Linked DNA regions of Diceros bicornis minor. Each later gene encodes a partner of the first gene's protein in a complex. Links are inferred from orthologs where the notes say so. Each region holds a gene or a part of one and is shown on either strand. Other genes may lie near its edges. The genes, in order: HBS1L and PELO.

What was found.
Region 2: HBS1L (region 1) and PELO share a complex: the UniProt entries of both Homo sapiens proteins name them as parts of the pelota-HBS1L complex. The link is inferred for Diceros bicornis minor from reciprocal best matches to the Homo sapiens genes HBS1L and PELO.

What each region holds. Positions count from the first base shown.
Region 1 is NC_080762.1:3,276,813-3,280,730, forward strand, and holds the start of HBS1L (HBS1-like protein), read left to right. Parts: upstream 1-765; 5' UTR 766-881; coding exon 882-924; intron 925-3,918. UniProt on the Homo sapiens protein: GTPase component of the Pelota-HBS1L complex, a complex that recognizes stalled ribosomes and triggers the No-Go Decay (NGD) pathway.
Region 2 is NC_080759.1:22,672,942-22,676,572, reverse strand, and holds PELO (protein pelota homolog), read left to right. Parts: upstream 1-1,276; 5' UTR 1,277-1,281; coding exon 1,282-2,007; intron 2,008-2,302; coding exon 2,303-2,734; 3' UTR 2,735-2,926; downstream 2,927-3,631. UniProt on the Homo sapiens protein: Component of the Pelota-HBS1L complex, a complex that recognizes stalled ribosomes and triggers the No-Go Decay (NGD) pathway.

The DNA.
Region 1 (3,918 bases):
ATCATTCACTTTGTGTTCTAAGAAGTGAGGACATTTAATAGTCGGTTATAGATTTATTCATCAACGTTCATCACTACCATCCAAGGCCAGTACTGTGTCCAAAAAGCTATATTTAATACTCTTATTATGTTACACATGATCGTGTGTTCAGAAGGCTCAATGAATCCTTCTTCATGCTGCTGCTGCTAACCGTTTACACGGCCAAGGGCAGATGGTCGTTTACTGGAGGCATTAGTGCAAGAGGAGCACATACGTGCAACTAAGAATCACACGAAAGCACGGTGACCTACTGCAGCCAGATTCTCAATTTAACCATATATACCCACTTAAAAAGGGTCCTTTCTTCCTCTCTAACGCTTGGACTGATTCTTAAAACAAATGTACACAAGTTAGTTAATGCTTACGTCCCTAAGCAGACCTCAAAGACGAAAGTAAGTTGGATGAGACAAGGTCCCTGCTCTTATTCAGCACACAGTCAGCTTTTTCACTACATTATCAGAAACTAAACTCGGAAAATAATCTGGAACACGGGCATAGATCAAAGGATCCGGCTCGTAAATTTGCTCCAAAACAACAAATTGTGGGCGGTGCAATTCCGCCCCTTTGAAACTCCTGTCAGTCACGCAGTCTGTGGGCGGGGCCACGCCGAAACGCAATCTCCGTGCGCGTGAGTGCGCATGCGTCCCGGGGGAGGCGGGTGACCCCTAGAGGTTGCCGTCGCGCGTGCGCAGGTAAGACGTCGCGCGTGCGCAGGCGCTCGGCGCAGAGGCCTGCCGGAAGCCAAGATGGCGTATCGGTGTTCTCCAGGCCGCAGTTGGCGCCTTGTCCGTGTCTGAGCGGGTGTTTCGTCAGGGGCTGTGGCGAACGCCCTCTCCGCCGCCATGGCCCGGCATCGGAATGTCCGAGGCTATAACTACGACGAAGGTAGGTGGCAGGGTCATGCGGGGAGGTCACTGTCGCCGTCCCGGCCGGGCTCCCTGCCCGTTGGCATCCCCTGGGCTCTGGGAGCGTCCCGTCGGAGGGGCCAGGAGTCAGAGGAGGCTCGGCTGGAGGAAACGGCGGGACCCCGATGCCGGCGGTGGCATTGTTTGGGCGGTGATTCTGCCCTCGGGGATCGGTCCTGTTTGGGGCGGGGGCCGCGCTGCCCGGCGGCGTGCGGGACGACGTGTGGGAGGTCGGCCCCGGGGACTCCTGCACGTAAGCGTCGTCACCTCCTGCCTCCCCTGCCCTCCCGGGTCGGGGCGCGCCGCCTGCGTCGAGCTCCTCCTCCCCGACCCCCATTTCAGAAGTGCCATATGTTCCTTGTTTGTAAAACACGGGGTGTCTTAAAGGTTGCATTCATCTGTTCTGCTGTGCCTGTTAGAGCTACGTGTCAGTCTTTTGTGTTTGTTCACACGTTTAGTGCAGAACCTGGCTTCATCTAACTGATTAACTTACGTTCTGTGAATTTCAAGTTAAATTGGAAACTTAGGAGACGGTAGAAAAGATAGATATTAAAAAGGCCCAAGGAATAAGTCGATCAGATGATCTGAGGGGTATACTCAGTTCTTGGTTGATGATTCTCAAAGTAAATGTATTTTGAAATGGAAAAAAAAAGCGGTACTAGAAGGGGGCTTTGAAAAGGACTTACTGATTTTAAAAAATGAAATAAAAGGAAAAAACATGTATATGAATGTTCTCTAGGCGTTTACAAGGAGTTAGAATGTTTAGGACAAGCATAGCATCTCTATGCAGTGGATAATTATAGGCATCACCAAGCATCATACAAACTAAAATTATAAACGTATATGAATGAGTGCAGCAGAGGAGTGAAGACCTATTGCTTTGTAAAGTGCAGAGCATGTAGTGTGCTTAATATGTTGGTGGTTATTATTGACACTCCCAGCAGATTATTCTAGAACATCAGTGTGCTCTCACCCTCGAGGGTAGCTAACACCCTGTGCTACGTTTCGAGCCTGGGACCCAGTCATCCTGGCACACGTTAGGTTCCTGGTGTTCACTTCAGAATGCAGGCCGCCCTAAGTATTGCAGTGGAGGTAAGTATTGCATGTGACGGTTATTACCTGAGAAATGACTTTAGCCCACGACATATTTTTGCACGTATGATACAAAAAACGTGAATAGGCCTAATTACTACTTATTCATTTTTTAAATAAATATTTATCATTTCCTCAACCAACATTAATTGAGTGCTTATTCTTCATTAACTGAGTGCTTAGAGTACTGTTCCAAGCTTGGGGACCGATGGTAAGATGTTTGAGGGAATCTTAAGAGGGAGATGATTAGAGTATGAGATGCTGCAGAAAGGACTCACACAGTGCTATGGGAGCCACTTATTCAGAGTGGGTTGGGGGAGTTTAAGCAGGCCTTCTATGTGAAGGAAAGCTTCCTGGAGAAGAGGTGCTTGGCCTGAGGGAGTGAGTGCTACATATCTTCTCTTCTTGGCAACCCCAGGTCAGGTTGTCGTGGTGTCATGTGTCTTTGGAACAATTGATGACATCATAACCAAGCTGTTCCTTGTAGCATAAGAGGTCCATCCCCTTTTCCTGCGAATAAAAGTTATACTTACTTTAAGAGTCCAGTTTCTTTCTTTTCTTCCCAGTTAAGCTTGCGCTTGTACTCTGAGAATAATAATTTAAAAATTCTCAAAAGTCATATAACTGATTAGAGAGAGTTTGTGCTCCAAAACCGATTGGTTCCTCTGTTTAACTCGCGCACTGTCCTTCTCTGTAACTTGGGTAGTACTTCACGTGAGTACCTCAGCTACTGGTGTAAAAGTGCCAGGAAGGCAAGGTCTATGCTTTATGTTGATATTTACTCCGATGCTTCACATGCAGTAAATACTCCAGAATTTTTGTCGGGGAAAAGAACCACTTTACAAAAATCCTAGGAAAGAATTCTCTTCATCTTTTTATAGTGTAGCGCTTTTAGGGTCAATTTCAGTATTGAAAAACTGACCTAGTAAAAAAGATTTTGTCATTAATATCTAAAAATATTTTTTGTGAATGGCTTATTTGCTAATAAATTGTTATTAAATTGGGATTGTGATCTAATAATTTATTGGATGTTACACACTTTTATCCAATAGTGGTATTTAGCTAATTTTTCTTTGCTGTATACATTTGGTCTCCGCCTTTGAATATGCTGTTCCTGCTGCATGAATACCCTCAGAAATTAGCTAGCCATCCTTTGGGATTGTTTTAAATATTATATTCCCGGGAGTTTTTCCCTAGCCACCTCACTCCCCATTCTATTTTTGTTGTTCATATGTGTGTTCCCAGTAGCTCTGTATCTCTCATGTCAGGCACTTGTCGTGTGGTTTTGTAATTGCCCGTTTTCTCTTCTGTGTTCCTGGTTACATTTTAGGTTTGTAGGGATCTGGGAATGTACCTGTCACTCACTGTTGTACCCTAAATGTCTCTAATTGTCCATGGTAGTATTTGTTGAATGAATAAATACATTTATGTAAACATATTTATGTTCTTTGTGGGTTTTTAGTTTTAAATTGTTTGATTCATTAATTTATAATAAAATATGTATTAATTTGTGCCAGCTATGTGCCAGGTAGTTGGCTACACAGTGTCTTACCCTGAAGGAGCTTAGAGTCTCAGGGAGTGAAGCAGGTACAGTGCTTTGAAGACAGTCAGTTGGAGGAGTGTGCTAGAGAGTAAAAGTGGCAGGGGTGGTCAGGGAAGACTTCTGCATACAGGTGTCCTTTGAGCTGGAACCTTAACTAGGGGAAGGAAACAGCCTAATGAAAATCTGGTTAAAGAGCATTTTCTAGTCAGTGGGAGGAAAGGCCATTTAGCCTGAGCAGAGTGAACACAAGGGAGTTAGGATAAGATGGTTTTCATTGAAATTACGTAGCTCTACGTGAAGGAAAACTGCCTTCCTGTCTGATTGTATACCTTGTGTTAG
Region 2 (3,631 bases), on another chromosome or scaffold:
AATGTAAAGACGTGTGTAGGACTCCTCTGCCCTCCACCCCATTTTAACTCTCAAGAAAACTTTGGGGGGCTTTTTCTATTCACTGGTCTTTTTAAGAGGTAATTGCCATTTCTCAAACTCCTCCGCCTACCCCCGCCCCTCGCCTTAAATAAAAAATGTTACGTGACTTAAGGATTTTCTTTCAAATCAATTCTGTAGCTATTCAGTCGGGGTCGGTCACAGTAGATCAGGTTTATCCCCACTTCCCATATCCTCAGCTCTCAGTTCAGCTTTAGCAGTGAAGATCCTACCCTAAGCTGTTGCGACCCAACCGCCACCCTAAACATTTCACTGAGCTGCGGAAAGCTGAGACAGCCAATTTTGGATTATGGGATTCCTAGGACATCAGGTCAAGCAACTGAGAGGTCCACCCAGGGTTAAATTCCACAGATGATTTCTTCTCTCTCTGGGATCAGTTCTTTAACATCTGGGTTAATCAGATCGTGCAGACTAAGCGCAGAAAACAGCTGGGCACGTTGCTCAGCGCCCAGAACCACCTGACCAGTCGTTCTTACAAACAACTTCAGGACACAACAGCTCCAAAAGGCGTGGAGCCTCTGCATGCGGATAAGGCAGAAGCAAAGCCAAGCACAGTTTGGACCGTTAAGGCCAAGTCTGCACTTTTGAGAGTTCCTTTGACTTTTAGATAAGTTTTGAAATTGGATTTACTCAGAGGGAGAAGGTGTAGAGTGGCAACTGCGCGCAGCTGAAAAAAATATATTTGCACTCACATATTCCTCAGATTCTTCACAAACAGGGATGGAAGAGAAAAGTTAGGTAGTCAAAGGTCAGCATTAAAATAAAGGACTTGCCACCAAAGAGCCCGTGCATTTTTCTCAGCTGGTTTATACGTCGGGAGCACCTCCCCGCTTAGTGCGCCTGCGCACGCGCAAACTGCGGCCCCGCCTCCCCTTGGGGCGTAAGACATGCGCATGCGCCCTCATTGCATCAGCCACTTGGTCCGTGCTGGCGGCTGGAACCGCGGAGAGTACGGCGTTCGCTGCGGTGGGTCTCGCGCCGGTTTGGCGCGGCGTGCCCGAGACTGAGAGAAGAAAGGCTAAAGTAAGTGCTCCCCGCGGCCGCTTGAGTCGGAGATAGAGTATTTCCTTTCCGCCAGGCAAGTGCTATAGGAACCGGACCCCGCCCCCTTCCCGGCCTAGACTTCCTTTCCCCTCCCTGCCCCTTTCCCGGTGGGGACCCCCTCGGTTCCTCTTGTTCTGGCAGTGAGCCGCTGCCAGGGTCATGAGGCTCGTGAGGAAGGACATCGAGAAAGACAATGCGGGCCAGGTGACCCTGGTCCCCGAGGAGCCCGAGGACATGTGGCACACCTACAATCTAGTGCAGGTGGGCGACAGCTTGCGCGCCTCCACCATCCGCAAGGTACAGACCGAGTCCTCCACGGGCAGCGTGGGAAGCAACCGGGTCCGCACCACCCTCACTCTCTGCGTGGAGGCCATCGACTTCGACTCTCAAGCCTGCCAGCTGCGGGTCAAGGGAACCAACATCCAAGAGAATGAGTATGTCAAGATGGGGGCTTACCACACCATCGAGCTGGAGCCCAACCGCCAGTTCACCCTGGCCAAGAAGCAGTGGGACAGTGTGGTTCTGGAGCGCATCGAGCAGGCCTGTGACCCAGCCTGGAGCGCCGATGTGGCAGCAGTAGTTATGCAGGAAGGCCTCGCCCATATCTGCTTAGTCACTCCCAGCATGACCCTCACTCGGGCCAAGGTGGAGGTGAACATCCCTCGGAAACGGAAAGGCAACTGCTCCCAGCATGACCGAGCCTTGGAGCGGTTCTACGAACAGGTGGTCCAGGCCATCCAGCGCCACATACACTTTGATGTTGTAAAGTGCATCCTGGTGGCCAGCCCCGGATTTGTGAGGGAGCAGTTCTGCGACTACATGTTTCAACAAGCGGTGAAGACTGACAACAAAGTGCTCCTGGAAAACCGGTCCAAATTCCTTCAGGTAAAACAGTCTTACCCAGGGGTGATTAAGAATGGGCAGAGGGATTTGTATCAACTACTGCTAAAGTTTTAGAACTGGGTGAAGTACAAGAGGAGAAAGTCTTTACTTGATTGGGATTGTAAATGAGATAATGAAAAGGGAACTGTTAAATAGCTAGCAAATTTATGTAGTAAACTTTGCTTAAGGCCTTCAACGTATAAAGCTTTCTGAGTGCTTTTGGCTTTAGGTCATCGTGGGCTGATTAATGGGTGCTCTAAGAGATTCTTTTGTCTAACTTTTATAATTGTGTTTCTAGGTACACGCCTCCTCTGGACACAAGTACTCCCTGAAAGAGGCCCTTTGTGACCCTACTGTGGCTAGCCGCCTTTCAGACACTAAAGCTGCTGGGGAAGTAAAAGCCTTGGATGACTTCTATAAGATGTTACAACATGAACCAGACCGAGCTTTTTATGGACTCAGGCAGGTGGAGAAGGCCAATGAGGCTATGGCCATTGACACATTGCTCATCAGCGATGAGCTCTTCAGGCACCAGGATGTAGCCACCCGGAGCCGGTATGTGAGGCTGGTGGACAGGGTGAAAGAGAATGCAGGCACTGTTAGGATATTCTCTAGTCTTCATGTATCTGGGGAGCAGCTCAGCCAGTTGACTGGAGTAGCTGCCATTCTCCGCTTCCCTGTCCCTGAACTCTCTGACCAAGAGGATGATTCCAGTTCTGAAGAAGATTAATGATTGGAACTTATGATTGAGACAACCTTGTGTCTCTTCACTGTTACATTTTCTCAGCATCCTTGTGACAGGGAGCTGTGGCACTTTGTGATTCTTACAAGGATTTCTCATGTGTTTAATCTCACTAGGTATTTTGTGGTTGGCAGGGCATGTATTCAGACCAAACAATAAATTAAAAGGAAATAATCTCCATGTTCGGTATACCATCTTTATTAATTAGGATAGTTTTATATAGGAATTATGACTTCTTTGCAATACTTAAAAACATTTTGTGTATTTAATGAGAATGCCTATATATTCTTTGGGATAGATCATAATACCCCATACTTGATGCTTTGAAATAGTTTTCCTTAGGAAAAGCCTTTTAATATTTCATTATCCTCGGTTTCCGTTATTTTAATTCTGCATAGTGTTTCTTGCACTGTGTTTAATGATCCCCTTTCTTCCCATTTCTCCTACACTCCATTTTTTTAAAATTTTTAAATTTATTTGCTATTTTAAATGATAGCCAAATAATTAGTAGACTTTTTTTGAAGACAAGTCTAAAATGGTATTTTTCTTAAGAGACTTGTTAAACCAATCATGTTAAAAGTAAGCTCTAGGTGTTTTTTCATTAGAATTAATCATATTTGCTTTAGAGCACCACTTAATCAGTTATTTTTAGATCATGGAGTTTTGATCTGCTAGGGATTCTCAAGATAATCTATTTGAGGCATCTTTATTCTTAAAATGAGACTGAGGTGTGTGATTTGCTTGCTGTGTGGCTAATGGCAAAGCTGGAAGTAGTCCCCGTTTCTTTGCGCTGCCACACTATGTATTTATTTTTTGGCTTGTCATAGGTATACTTAATGCTGTCTTATATTTGTATGTGGCATTAGTCTGTGCTTTCACCTTCTT